Cricetulus griseus: one gene and its partners. The protein of the gene in region 1 binds, or shares a complex with, the protein of each later gene. Links are inferred from orthologs where the notes say so. Each region holds a gene or a part of one and is shown in the gene's direction. Other genes may lie near its edges.

What was found.
Region 2: the proteins of Pten (region 1) and Pard3 are in contact, whole or in part, in an NMR structure (PDB 2K20), measured with the Rattus norvegicus proteins. The link is inferred for Cricetulus griseus from reciprocal best matches to the Homo sapiens genes PTEN and PARD3. Residues at the interface, in NP_113794.1 of Rattus norvegicus: Asp393, Glu394, Asp395, Ser398, Gln399, Ile400, Thr401, Lys402, Val403; in NP_112514.1 of Rattus norvegicus: Ala599, Gly600, Leu601, Gly602, Val603, Ser604, Val605, Lys606, Gly607, Asn608, Arg609, Ser610, Lys611, His614, Lys622, Ile625, Met659, Leu662, Arg663, Met666.
Region 3: the proteins of Pten (region 1) and Mast2 are in contact, whole or in part, in an NMR structure (PDB 2KYL), measured with the Homo sapiens proteins. The link is inferred for Cricetulus griseus from reciprocal best matches to the Homo sapiens genes PTEN and MAST2. Residues at the interface, in NP_000305.3 of Homo sapiens: Pro391, Phe392, Asp393, Glu394, Asp395, Gln396, His397, Thr398, Gln399, Ile400, Thr401, Lys402, Val403; in NP_055927.2 of Homo sapiens: Lys1112, Lys1113, Tyr1114, Gly1115, Phe1116, Thr1117, Leu1118, Arg1119, Ala1120, Ile1121, Arg1122, Val1123, Tyr1124, Met1136, Trp1138, Glu1141, His1170, Val1174, Ile1177, Leu1178, Leu1191.
Region 4: the proteins of Pten (region 1) and Sntg1 are in contact, whole or in part, in a crystal structure (PDB 7PC7), measured with the Homo sapiens proteins. The link is inferred for Cricetulus griseus from reciprocal best matches to the Homo sapiens genes PTEN and SNTG1. Residues at the interface, in NP_000305.3 of Homo sapiens: Asp395, Gln396, His397, Thr398, Gln399, Ile400, Thr401, Lys402, Val403; in NP_001274742.1 of Homo sapiens: Gly67, Phe68, Gly69, Leu70, Ser71, Ile72, Lys73, Gly74, Glu77, His78, Ser85, Lys86, Ile87, Ser88, His118, Val122, Leu125, Arg126.

The regions. Positions count from the first base shown.
Region 1 is NC_048596.1:28,747,673-28,751,242, reverse strand, and holds part of Pten (phosphatidylinositol 3,4,5-trisphosphate 3-phosphatase and dual-specificity protein phosphatase PTEN), read left to right. Parts: intron 1-3,377; coding exon 3,378-3,544; intron 3,545-3,570. UniProt on the Homo sapiens protein: Dual-specificity protein phosphatase, dephosphorylating tyrosine-, serine- and threonine-phosphorylated proteins.
Region 2 is NC_048596.1:204,208,300-204,211,869, forward strand, and holds part of Pard3 (partitioning defective 3 homolog), read left to right. Parts: intron 1-665; coding exon 666-791; intron 792-2,072; coding exon 2,073-2,455; intron 2,456-3,570. UniProt on the Homo sapiens protein: Adapter protein involved in asymmetrical cell division and cell polarization processes. Seems to play a central role in the formation of epithelial tight junctions. Targets the phosphatase PTEN to cell junctions.
Region 3 is NC_048595.1:36,019,494-36,023,063, forward strand, and holds part of Mast2 (microtubule-associated serine/threonine-protein kinase 2), read left to right. Parts: intron 1-2,402; coding exon 2,403-2,612; intron 2,613-3,570. UniProt on the Homo sapiens protein: Appears to link the dystrophin/utrophin network with microtubule filaments via the syntrophins. Phosphorylation of DMD or UTRN may modulate their affinities for associated proteins. Functions in a multi-protein complex in spermatid maturation.
Region 4 is NC_048595.1:235,603,888-235,607,457, reverse strand, and holds part of Sntg1 (gamma-1-syntrophin), read left to right. Parts: intron 1-1,003; coding exon 1,004-1,061; intron 1,062-2,736; coding exon 2,737-2,780; intron 2,781-2,868; coding exon 2,869-2,910; intron 2,911-3,570. UniProt on the Homo sapiens protein: Adapter protein that binds to and probably organizes the subcellular localization of a variety of proteins. May link various receptors to the actin cytoskeleton and the dystrophin glycoprotein complex.

The DNA.
Region 1 (3,570 bases):
TTGGAGAACACGTACAGTTTAGATTGGCATTACGTTTGAAGGAAATATTGCTGGCAATAGGAAATGGTTGAACTGCAGTACAACAGACGGAAACCGAGCTGGACAAGAAATGAAGGTGTGGTTAGCTGTTATAGGATCTTGAGTGAGAGATAATAGACTGGAAATATGGGTGTCATGTTGATTTTAGGGAGTTAAGCCATGTTTTAAGGACAATTGTATACTCTATAGAAAGTTGTGATATAGGAGGGGGAAGTAAAACCAGCTATGTGACTTGCCAAATTTTGCTGGAGCAGTGAAATGGGCTTTGTTTGGTTTTTCTTTTGCTGATCTTACTCAGGTGGCTGATTCACAGAAAGGAGATGAAAAGTACATTTGAAATTTGGAGACATAAGTATTATCACTTTGGCTTTAAAGTTGTTTTAAATGTAATGAAAACAAGCTGTTTATGGAAAGCTCTGTAATGGGGCTAGAGGCTTTGTTTCAGGTGCAGTATTTGAGTAGAACCAGAAAGCACAATGCCCTGCACTCCATCCCCACCTTTTATTTATTTATTTATTTATTTTTAAAAAGATGCTTAGTGGTTAAATTCTTAGTGGGTTCAAGTCTAGGTGGGAGATCATATTTGTTCGGGAGAAACATCAGGAACAAGATAGTAACTTAGCCTTTTGGCTGAGTATGCCGTTAAGGTAGGAAAGGGTAAAGAATGAGAAAAGGGAAGAGTGAGGTGGATTCAGGAAGAAGAGGAGCATCGGTGAAACATTAAACTAGTGATGAAAACTAAAAAGTGTTTCTGCAGTTATCAGGAGCTGGCAGCAGTTTTCTTACTTGAATTTTGTCTTACTATTTCTAAGTGAAGGAAAGTTGTGTATGGGTTATAAGTATTAATTAGGATGACCCATGTATTTGTTGGGAAACATTTCTTTAGAACATAGTTAACATATCAAAGGTTATATTTCAGATGTGTACCTTAGAAATCAAAAGAACTTTAATAATATTAGAGTTTTGATTTTAGGACTTCCATCCCAGTGTGAAACTCATTCCAGAGATTATTTTTCTCAGTGGCTTTAGGAAATGCTTCTGTGTATTCATTTCTCAAAAAAACTTTATGCTGTTTTATTGTACAAGGCAACTAAGGGAACTGTCTTAGTCAGTGTTCCATTTCTGTGAAAAGATACCATGACTACAGCAACTCTGAAAAAAGAAAACATTTAATTGGGTATTGCTTACAGTTTCAGAGGTTTAGTTCATTACCAGCATGGCGGTATGCAGACAGATTTGGTGCTGGAGGAGGAGCTGAGGGTTCTACGTATAGATCTGCAGGCATCAGGAAGAGCAGGCACTGGGCCTGGCTTGAGCTTTTGAAACCCAAAGTCTATCCCCAGTGATATACTTCCTCCAATAAGGTCACACCTACTTCAAGGCCACACCTTCTAATCCCTCTCAAGTAGTGCCACTCCCTGATGACTAAGCAGTTAAATATATGTGCCTCTGGGGCCATTCTTATGCAAACTACCACAGAGACCCAGTTAAAAATCACTCAACAGCTCCCCAAAACACACACTCACGCACGCACGCACAAGTGGCAGAGGGGGAGCCCAGAGTCTTGTGTGCTAGGCAGGTATTCCACTACCTAGCCTCCTCCATGTTCCTATTAGTGTGGCCAATTAAGCTCTGCATAGAGTGTTGAACTGTTTTCTGAATCCAAAGTCCCAAAGTTCACGTTCCGCCAACAAGCAGCATGGTCAGACTAATTATTTTTAGTGAAACATTTTTTTCTGTTTTATTAATGTTTTTCTCAATTAGATTCTTTTTTCTTCTTTTTTGCACCCCCCACACTCCCCCTTCCCGCTTCCCCTCTTCCCTTCCACCCTACTCCTTGGGGGGGGGGGGGCTCTCCAATCAGGAGATCTTGTCTTTTTCCCCTTCCTAGACGGATCCATGTGTCTCTCTCTTAGGGTCCTCTTTGTTGCCTGGCTGGTTGTCCTTTCCTTCATGTCTAATATCTACTTATGAGTGAGTACATACTATATTTGTGTGGTACATTTACACAATGGAGTACTACTCAACGTAGAAAAATCTATGACATCTTGAAATTTGCAGGCAACTAGAAAAACTAGATTGCCGGAACTAGAAAAAGCCATCCTGAGTGACATAACCCAGACCCAGAAAGACAAATATAATTAGTGAAACATTTTTTATCTTATTTTTAGGGGAAGTTCTAAGTAATATGGATTTGTAATTAACTTGTCGATTGTTTATTATGACAGTTGGAGATTTATACCTTGGATGCTGTTTAGTTGAAATCCAGATTATACCATCAGTTTTCAAATCCTAAAACCTGTAGTATCTGATTCTGAACTAGTAGAATAATAGTTCCTTAATAAGATTATAAGGCATTTTATTCCAATAATTTTTACCACAACATTGAAACCATGCTTTGTTCATTTGTTTCATGTTAACTTCGTTATTGTATGGAGCTTTGCAAATGTCTTATTGCACTTTGAACCTTTAGTCAAAGAAGTGAAATGTTTGGCAGATTATTGGTGTAATGTTCCTCTCTTTTGGGTGGATTTCATGATAAATGTCTTGTAAATCCATGTTAGGATAAGCCCACGTGCTTTGTTAAGGGTCCCGTTTTCTATGATATGATTGTTGCGTTACTGGTTTTATATGTTGAATACATAGACCTCTATATATTTATTAATTTAGAATAATTTAGAAATTTCACTTAGATTGGTTTAACTTTCACATTTTCTCAGTCATTGGTCATAATAGATTAAAAATTCCTCATCTTGAAAGAAATAATACCTTTTTTTTTTTTTTTTTTTTTAAAAATGAGTTTTTGAGACAGGGTTTCTCAGTGTAACAATTCTGGCTATCCTGGAACTAGTTTAGTAGACTAGGCTGGCCTAGAACTGGGATTAAAGTCATGTGCTACTACCGCCTGGCTAGTATTGATATTTTTCTGTCACATAAGTCCTCTAATTTGAACATATTAGTGTCCTGTTTCTTTCTAGCTGTAAATGAATTTGAGTACATTTTAGAAATAAAATGCAAGAGAGTGGCAGCACATACCTTTATTCCTAGCACCTGGGAAGCAGAGGCAGGTGGATCTCTGTGAACTTACTGTTTATGAAGTAGTAATTGATTTTCCTTGCATTCCTTTACATAAGGTTTCAAAGAGGAGTGATCGCTACTTGGAATGAGTGGTTATGTTTTAAACCAGTTTATTTCTATTGATTTGTTTTAGATCAGCAGTCTGTATGAAGAATTATTTTATGTTTACTTCCATTACTTTGTCATTAAAATAGTTTCTGATAATTTGAATGTTAAAGGCATTTCCTGTGAAATGATCATGTATGTATTTAACCATGTAGATCCTCAGTTTGTGGTCTGCCAGCTAAAGGTGAAGATATATTCCTCCAATTCAGGACCCACACGACGGGAAGACAAGTTCATGTACTTTGAGTTTCCTCAGCCATTGCCTGTGTGTGGTGACATCAAAGTAGAGTTCTTCCACAAGCAGAACAAGATGCTCAAAAAGGTTTGCACTTGAGTTCTATCTGGTAG
Region 2 (3,570 bases), about 180 Mb from region 1:
TACCATGCCCTGTCTTAAAGTTTGAGTGCCAATACAGATGAGAGAAATGCCAAGTTCTTTGAACCGCTTTCCTGCATGCAGTTTTCTTCAGCCAGGAGTGTGGCAGCAGATCACTCACTTGCCAGGTTTTGAAATTCCAATTATCAGACTGTTGTTGAGTTCACAATTCATGCACAAGGGAAGCTCTCTTTCTCTCTCTCTGACTCTCTATGAAGACTTTGCTCTTATCCTTGGAACGTAAAGCACAGGGAGGATAGGCATTCCTCATGATCTGTGTGTGCTGTGAAACAATCAAGGGCTGCTTGCAGCAGCATGCCAGCAGGACTAAAGCAGAAACCTACCAAGCCATCCATAAGACTGTCCCTGTTCAGACTGTGACACCCACTGCCCACTGATTTCCCTCAACAGGCTCTGTTGTCAGCATTTTGAAGCAGACTTAGTATGCACTTAGGTTCAGAAGGCTAATAATGGCAAGTCAGAAAATGGTATCTGATATTGACTGAAAGGGTCAGTTTCTACACATAATTTAGAACCTTGGGAGTTTTTGAATATCAGTAGTGCCCTAGTCCATCTTCTTTTAAGGGAGTGGATGAGCCTGTACCATAGAGCTAAAGCACATGGAAGGAGAGTTACCCCTGTAATTGTTCACATTCTTGATGTTCCAGAACACTGGGGTTGTTAGTCAAGCGGTTGGAGAAAGGTGGTAAAGCTGAGCAAGAAAATCTTTTCCATGAGAACGACTGCATTGTGAGGATTAACGATGGAGATCTTCGAAACAGAAGATTTGAGCAGTAAGTGTTCTAGTGGCAGTGGGGTCCTCTCCCCTGGTGCCAGTGGGGTCCTTTCCCCTGATGGCAGTGGGGTATCTCCCCTGGTGTCAGTGGGTGCTCTCCCCTGGGCACAGTGGGGTCCCCTCCCCTGGTGGCATGATGGGGCACCTTTGTCTCAGGTGCTTTGACACATTATTGAATACTGTACCACAGGAGACAGTTTTGTATGCAATCATCTAGTTTTTTAATCATCTATAATTTAATCAAACTCCTGTCATTCTATATTTTAGAGCCCCCTCTAACCAGTTGAGCTGTTCCCACATTGTTCTGTCCCTCATTTTAGTGTTACAGTGCTGCTGATTTCTCTGCTTTCTGGAAGTCCACCCTAGCCTCACTTGAACTCACATTTCTAGCTTTGTCTTTCACAGTATAAATAAGGAGGGAGACTCCTTTGAGTCACAATACTCTTTCTTTCTTGTGCTTTCTTTATCCTGACCCTTACTAAATTAAAAATAGCAACAGTAACAAAACCCTTTTAAAAATGGGTAGGTGTGACTAGCATTCTTACTTAGAGGTGATACCCGGGTACCAGTATGAGTGGGATCTGCCTTACAGTGGGCCTTAGGGCTCCACAACAGGTAGGATCCAGACTGGGTGGGTGGTGGTGGATACATCATTAGGTTCTGTTTGCAGCAATTAGTGTTGGTGAGATTTTTGAACCAGTTTTGATGATAAGTGATGAGTGGTTAGTTGCCTCCAATATTTCCATAATTATACTATAGAGTATTTCTTTAAAAGTTCTATGGTCCCTTAGTAAGAAAACACTTTTTGCCCTTATTAGTTTCATGGCATAATTCTGTGCAGGGATATCCAACCTTTTGACATTGTGATATGTCCTTGTCATCTACAAATGTATTGGACTGCATTCATAACTACCCTAGATATAGGAGGATGAAGGACTGCAGGTTGGACACAGCTGGGAGAAGTAAAAGCTGTGTATGTTTTCTGTCAGTATTAAGCTAGATTAAAGGTGTTAGCACGTAATCATTATTGATGATTTACAGTGGAGCACACTGTATTTTATCTACAGTCACAGATAGGTTTAGCATTTTTATTTACAGAATGAGAAATTTATATTTGGAGAAACTGTTCTGCTTTTATCAGAGCTTACAAACGTGGTTCATAAATGGTTCCAACAGTCTGTTGGTTCTTGTTGCTTAATTAGTATACTTAATCAAGCTCATGTTATCTTCTGCTCTGCTAGCCTTCATTTGCTAATCTTCCATTCTTTGTCAAATCCAGAGCACAACATATGTTCCGCCAAGCCATGCGTACACGTGTCATTTGGTTCCACGTGGTCCCTGCAGCAAACAAGGAGCAGTATGAACAACTCTCACAGCGAGAGAAGAACAACTATTCCCCTAGCCGCTTCAGCCCTGACAGCCACTGTGTGGACAACAGGAGTGTGGCCAGCACTGTGCCTCAAGCATTGCCCAGAGCACCCAGACTGAATCATCCTCCTGAGCAGCTGGATGCTCACCCCCGACTACCTCATAGTGCTCATGCCTCCACTAAACCACCCGCAGCCCCAGCTTTGACTCCACCGAATGTGCTTAGCACCAATGTGGGCAGTGTGTACAACACTAAGAAAGTAGGCAAGAGGCTCAACATTCAGCTTAAGAAAGGTAGGATGTCCGACGGGGCTTCTTTTAAGATAAGCTACAAGCTGAGGAGAGTCCTTCGAGTACTGAGGTGGGGGAGGTGTGCTCTTTTGTTGTCTCCATCTGTTAAGTGTTTCAGTGCTCAGAATAAAGCCCAGGGCTCTGTTTGCCAGTCACTCTGCCCCATCTTTACCTGTACCCTGTCAAAATTAAAATGGAGGGATTTGGTGGTAAAGTGCTTACTACATATGCACAAGGACCCGAGTTCAGATTTCCAGCATATACATAAAAGCCAGGAATGTCGGGTGTGGAGCCGGGTGGCTATCTTCGTGACCAGCCCCAGTCTAGACAAATTGACAAGCTCCAGGTTCCTATGAGACCAACTGAGAAGACACTTCAAAGTAACCTCTGGCCTATGCACACACATTGTACATGCACTTGCACACACATGTACACACAAATGCAGAAGAAATAAAATTAAAATGTAAAAGTTCTGAATAAGTCACAGCACGTGTGTTATTCCTAGGTTAGGATTTATATATATATTGAAAGTGAGTTACAAGTTTTCTTTTAATATCTAGAACAGACTAGTGGTCTGACTGTCTTAATTGTCAACCATGCCTTTAGCAGGAAATTGGAGGTCTCTATAGCCTTCAGCATGTCATGGGAAGGGGCACCCATTTTTGAGGCTGTCTGAGTCACAGTTGCTAAGAAGCCCAGAACTGTGTTTGCTTTCCCTTCTCCAGTATGTAACTTCTTTTCCTTGAAGGTGACAGATAATGGTGATGGGTGCCACTCAGTCTCCTCCACCATTAAATACCCCCTTCCTGTAGTTGGCAATTCTGTGTACATAGAGAACACACTTGTAGTTGGTCTCCTTCTCTATGCAGTATGATGGCCACACTTGACTTTCAGATAGCCATTGGTGTTCTGTCAAGGATGAGATACACTTGCCCTTCTTTGTATTCCTTTACCTATGTGTTTGAAAATTATGCCTTTCAAATTATGGGTTTTTAAAAATGATGCCTGAGTCTAGTCAGTTCGAAAAGTGGCCGGAGAGCCATCCAGAATGCGTACCTGTGTCCAGCAGCTGTGGACAGCAAACCTTGTAGCTGGAAGATATTACAGAGTGCCTTTCA
Region 3 (3,570 bases), on another chromosome or scaffold:
CCCTTCCTATATGCTCCTTTATTTTTTAAATTTGCTTGTTTGGTTTTTGTTTGGTTTTTTGAGTTAGTTTTACTTTGTAGCAGGAACTATTCTAGAACTTGATATTTAACCTAGGCTAGCCTCAAACTCAATCCTGCCCCAGCCTGGCCTGCCATCACAGGTGAATTTGCAATTCTGATCAAGAATCACTTGCTGTGTACTCATACTTGATCTTCTGAGGGTAGACTTGGTTCCTATAGAAAGCAGTCAGTCCTGTATTAGTCAGGGTCTTTTAGAGTAACATGATTTTAAAAATGAATCTGTATAGAAATGGGATTTATGGGTTGGGTGATGGTGGTACATGCCTCTAATCCCAGTACTCAGGAGGCAGAGGCAGGTGGGTCTCTGCAAATTTGAGTCCAGCCTGGTCTACAAAGTGAGTTCCAGGACAGCCAGAGTTACAAAGAGAAACTGTGTCTCAAAAAACAGAAAAAAATGAAAGAAATGGGATTTATTAGACTGATTTACAGGCTATGGTCCAGCTAATCCAACAATGGCTGCCTATGAATGTAAACTTCAGTAATTGAGTAGATGTTCAATCCATGTTCAGGTGTCTTAGCTGGTTTTCAGTTTACACCAGAATCCCAAAGATTCTAGTGCCGGTGAAGCAATGGACTTGCTAGCAAGGGTAAGAGCGAACAGGCAAAAAGAGATGTCTTTTACATAGGCTTCAAAGCAGAAGGTGTGGCCTGGATTAGAGGTGGGTCTTTTCACCTCAAAAGATGTGGATGAAAAGTGTGTCTCCCACGTCAGAGACACAGATGAGAAGTAGATCTTCCCACTTCAAATGATGTAATTAAGCATAATTCCTCACTGGTGTGCCCAGCCATTTTTGAATTTTAGTTAATTCTAGATGTAGTCAAGATGACAATCAAAATAGCAATCACAGCCCTATCTGAGAGACACTAAGGGGGGCAGAGGTGCTCAGGCCTCCTTCATCCTCTCTCTGTCCAGGCCTCTCTGGGTTGTCAGTGTGTTTGTATCTGGGGTATGTGCTTCCTGCTGCTCTCAGCAGTACTAACCTTGAACTATACATTCTCTTGCATACACATGACAGCTGAGAAAGATGACAAAAATGCTCTGTGCTTTTCTTTCTTGACATACACCAGTGACACCTTGTAACAAGGACCCAGATTGTCTACATTCACTCTGCTCCATGTATTAGCTTCAAAATTCTTCTGGTCAGATTATTTAACTTCCTTGAGCTTCGTTTGCTTCATTGACAATTCATAATAATAGAATCCTGTTTGATTCTGTCTCATATGAGGATAAATGAGCACTGGTTTTCTAACAGTATGCAGGACATAGTATTCAGTAATATTAGCTATTATTCTGTTTAATCTGTTGTCTCTGGTCTCCACATGGTAGCCTTGAAGTAGACACAGGAGTAAGAATAAAGGAAGAACAGGAAAGCAGCTAGGAAGCCATGCTATTGTACTTCCTAATAAAATTCCAGAGTGTGCAGTCTGGAAAAATGTATTTTGCATGTCTCATCCTCTTTGTACAGAGATGTGTTTTGACACATCTAGCACTTAGTGTTGGTATTTATAGTTACTCCTTTGTCCTTCATATAAGATGGGCTGTTGTTAGAGAAAATGTGTTAAGGTTCCTTCCCTTCCTTCTCTCCCTGCTGCTCTCACTTTTTTAAAATCCCTCTGTACACATACAGAGTCAAAGCCTAAGAGAGTTAAGGGCCCAAAAGAGCTCTGAGCCAAACCTCCATTCTTCTCTGCCGGGGATCTAGGCCAGGGTCATATTGCAATTCAAAACGCTCCATTCCATCCTGGCTTCCAAAACCAGGCAGATTCATACATGTTCTCTGAGCACCTGTTGTATTCAGCGTGAACTCACGTTTAATATGAGAACCCCATGACAATGAAACTCTCTGACTTGCCAGAACTTCTAGTGCATAGAAAGGATCAGAACTTCATCTGTGTACTGAGTTATGCAGTCAGGGGGACCAAGTGAGACACAGAGGAAGCAAAAGACTCATCTGAGGATTGATGATGCTTGAGTAACATGAGGAGCAACAGTAACAATAACTCTGGGCCACCCCCAGAGAATGTGTAACAAAGACAGTGACATGAAATATGGCCAGTAAGAGACTAGCAAACTTGTCTGTCTATAGAACCAAAAAGCTTGCCTTACAGAGTATGGCAAGAGACAGGCAAACCAAGATGATAGAGGCCTCGAATCCGGTGTTAGTCTGTCTGACTTATCTGAAGTGACCTCTTCATGTCTTCTTTCATTAGGTTTCCCAAAGTAGCATGAGGAAGTAAGGCACATAGAGATCCAGTCCTTCGGAATTTGCTGCAGCTAAGCTGGGACCAGAAGGGAATTATCATCTCTTCTTTTATTCCCAGGCCACTGCACAAATGGAAGAGCGACTAGCTGAATTCATTTCCTGTAACACTCCAGAGAGTGTGTTGCCCTTGGCAGATGGCACCCTAAGCTTCATTCATCATCAGGTGATTGAGATGGCCCGAGACTGCCTGGACAAATCTCGGAGTGGCCTCATTACATCACACTATTTCTATGAACTTCAAGAAAATTTGGAAAAGCTTTTGCAAGATGTAAGTGTCTTGATGTGGGGACTGATAAAGCTTCCACAAGGTAATTTCAAGAATTAACAGAGCCTACTCTTCCCAGCTACTAGCCAACACATCTCCTTGCCAGTGTGTAGGAACTTCCAGCTTTGGTGCTGGTGAGCTCATATCCCTTCCTAGGCCTCTCCATCACTAAGAGAAGCCTGCTTAGTTTCAGAGGAACTCAGTTCTGTGAGTGCTTTTCTTTTTAAATACTCTTTTAAATTTATTTTTGTTTTACTTGCATTGGTGTTTTGCCTGCATGTGTGTCTGTGTGAGGGTGTCAGGTCTTACAGTTACAGAGAGTTGTGAGCTGCATTGTGGGTGCTGGGAATTGAACCCAGGTCCTCTGGAAGAGCAGTCACTGTTCTTAACCACTGAGCCATCTCTCCAGCCCCACTGTGAGTGGTTTTCTAAAACCAAAGCCATTACTCTGCCTGAGACTCCAACATTGGTAGTTGGAGTCTACCAATACCAACTAACTTTGGTATTGTACATAGGTATTTGACTTCTTACCAAAAGCAAACAATGCAGCAGAGGTTGACCAGATGTGATGGTGCATACCTTGAATCCTAGCTCGTGGGAGACTGAAGCATATCCTAGTGAATTCTAAGCCAGTGTTAGGCTAAGCCTAGGCTACATAGTAAAACCTTAAGAGAAACAAACAAACACATATAATAATAATACAAAATACAGTAGTGGATATATGAATTGTCTTCTACTGAAAATCATTTATTTCAGCATAGCTTTCCAACTATCCTCAGCTCAGGGAAAGCAGAGCTAGGGCTTATCCTGTGAGTGTGTCCATTAACTGATATTTCATTGACACAGTGATAAGTTCTAACTTTAAAGATGTGATCCTTTCAAATATAAAAAGGTCTCTGGGAGGAACTGAAAATTTGGCTCATCAGTTAAGAGCACTTGCTGGTATTCCCTAGGACCCAGG
Region 4 (3,570 bases), on another chromosome or scaffold:
TAAGCACAGAGCACCACCAGTGACTCTAGATGGCCCCTTCAACCACCTGTGCTAAACATGTATACTCCGTCTCTACACAACACTTCACTTGTTTATATATGTCCTTGGTTTATCACCGAACACACCCAAACTTCTTACACTGTTGGGGTGAAACTGTATGATTCTAAGAATTGTTTATTTGCTTTTATAAAAATTTTGATTCCTTATTGCACTTCCTTCTTTTCATATTTGAGCCAAGGGCCGCTGTTGGATTCTTGGATGATAATTGGTTAGCCTATGCTTTTACACGCAGGAGTCTAATACTAATTAGGAAACACAGGTAGTTCTGTTCCCATCACACTTAGACATCTCATGATTTTGTTTATCCATCTGTATAGGCAGAAGGTCTCTCTGGTTATTTAGCACTCAAAATGAATTACTGAAAGAGTGTGTGTTTGCCAGAATAGAATAGTCAGAGAATTGAAATATATAAAATATCTGATGTGTGGAATCCTACATAACAAATGTCAAGATGCCTTGCTTTCCCATAATGGATTTTGAAGAGAATGTCATTACTAACATTATGAATTTTATTTGAGAAATAAAAATTTTATAGTCAGTTATTACTAATTATTAAATGTCATTACAAAACCACTAAATACTACACCAGGAAGTGGTGGCGCTCACCTTTAATCCCAACACTCGGGAGGCAGAGGCAGGCAGATCTCTGTGAGTTCAAGACGAGCCTGGTCTATAAGGGCTAGTTCCAGGACAGCCTCCAAAGCCACAGAGAAACCCTGTCTTGAAAAACCAACCAACCAACCAACCAACCAACAAAAACCCATTACTTATCCAAGCTTCATGGACAAGCTTATTTAAAAGAAATTCTACAAATTTATTTCAATTCTGCTTAGTATTCATTAGATGCAATATTTATAGCTTGCAGTTTTTGTTTATTTGTTATTTTTAAATTTTTTGGCTAAAAGCTGACTTAAAAATATGATGTATGACTGTCTCTTTCTAGGGAGGTGCAGAACATAACATTCCAGTTGTCATTTCCAAAATCTCCAAGGAGCAAAGAGGTAATGTGCTTAGCTAACCCTGAAGTGGTCAGTCCTCTGTAATCCCACGCTCACTAACTGGTATCGATGTGGCTCCCCTGGATTCCAAGCCTCATATAGTGAGAAGTCAAATCTGGTTCTTCAGTTTCCCTTGTTCCTCCTACAGAACAGAAAGGGAAAATGATGGATTCACATAGTTCAAATGGCCATGTATTAATTGACCATATGTGAAATGACACAATTAAGACACATCTGAACTGTTGGTTAAAGATCGAAAAATGAAGACACATTTAGTGGACAAATCCATATTCGATAGATTTCTCAATTTTACTCACTTCATATGAGGCTTCATCTAAAAACTATCACAGATAAATCAAGTGTTTATTGGCAATTATCAAGAAAACAGCAAAGTAATAGAACAGAGCATAGAACAGACAGATGGAAAGTCTAAATCTGAGGTATTTGCATGGAGATATTATACTGTAAATGCACTAAGAAAAGTGACCAAATGTGAATGAATATGCATACATAATATGTATATATTACACAGGCATGCACACTCACTCACACACACTCACACTCACACACTCATACACTCACACACACACTCACACACACACACACACTCACACACACTCACACACTCACACACACACCACACACACACTCACACACACTCACACTCACACACTCACACACTCACACTCACACACTCACACACTCACACACTCACACACTCACACACACTCACACACTCACACGCACTCACACACACTCTCACACACACACTCAGACACACTCACACACTCACACACACTCACACACACACTCACACACACACACTCACACACACTCTCACACACACACACTCACACACACTCACACACTCACACACACACCACACACACACACACACACACACTCACACACACACACTCACACACACACACACACACACACACACACACACACACACACACTCACACACACACACACACACACTCACACACACACTCACACACACACACACACTCACACACACACTCACACACACACACACACTCACACACACACACACACACTCACACACACACACACACACACTCACACACACACACATCACACACACACTCACACACACACACACACACACTCACACACACACACACACACACTCACACACACACACACACACACACTCACACACACACACACACTCACACACACACACCACACACACACTCACACACACACACACACGTCTTAGAAAACTGTTAATAACATGCCTTGATCACATTCATACTCATTCTTCCAACTTTCCAAGATGTAGTTACACTTCCAGAATGTATCATCTGAAAAGTCAAACATGCTAAACTGGAAAGCCTCACATCCAAAAGTATTTGGGCCACACTAATTGGCATTTTTGAAAAAGGAAAAAAGTCACAAAGTTGGGAGGGGACTGACCATGTTTTAATAACTGTAAGGTTATAAATTTCTAGAACCAAAAAGAAATGTCTGCCTATTCCAGCAACTGAAAAAAAATCATATTAATACTTTGAGTTTACATTGTGTGTGACCCTATGAAATACTAACCATAGAAAAGACATAGCTTGTTTACAGTTTTAACCTTAAGACAAAACATCTTTATTTATTTGACAAATGCCAAGGTGTATTCAATTTTTTTTCTTATTCACAGCGGAGCTGTCAGGACTGCTTTTCATCGGAGATGCAATTCTACAGGTATATATCTCATTATTGTCTTTATAGATGCAAACAAAAGCCAATTTACAGTACACTACTTGAAACTAAGTATTTTCTTTCATTGCAGATAAATGGGATTAATGTGAGGAAATACAGACATGAAGAAGTGGTGAGTTTACTTTTTTCTAATGCTATCATATCTCAAATTCAATTTAATTATGAAAGTACAAAATAATGTAGCATATTACCAATTCTAAGTGTCTTTCAACCAATTTTTACTCTTAAAATACACTTAGAAGTACTATCATGATGAAATGTATTTCAAATTGAAGTATACATGTAATTTTTTCAAATGCTTGAAGGTTTATGAGAAAAGTATTGATTTCTGTAAATTTTTAAATGGCATTGGGGCAATTGGCAATGTGTTCTGTAAGTGTGTGTGTGTGTGTGTGTGTGTGTGTGTGTGTGTAGAGAAAGGTGTAAAAAGGAGAAGGAATTGATGAAGAGACAAAGGGTAGATTTACCCACATTTTCATTATGGCAGTTTCTTGCATGATTTTACATGTGTTGGGGCATATACAAACATTCTAATTTAATACAGCTGGGACATGGAAGCTGAGTTTCAGCTACATTTATAAACAGTTAAACAGTAAATTTCTTCTAATCCATACTTCCATAGATAGGTTAGTCTCTATTGCAGATAATGAAATGGCATTATAAAACTTAATCAAAGTGGTAGACATCTGGGGAAATGTTGGTCACAATTAAATAAATACCATTGAGTTCTTACTGAAAGAGATAAAGAAAACTACATTTAAAATACGCTCAA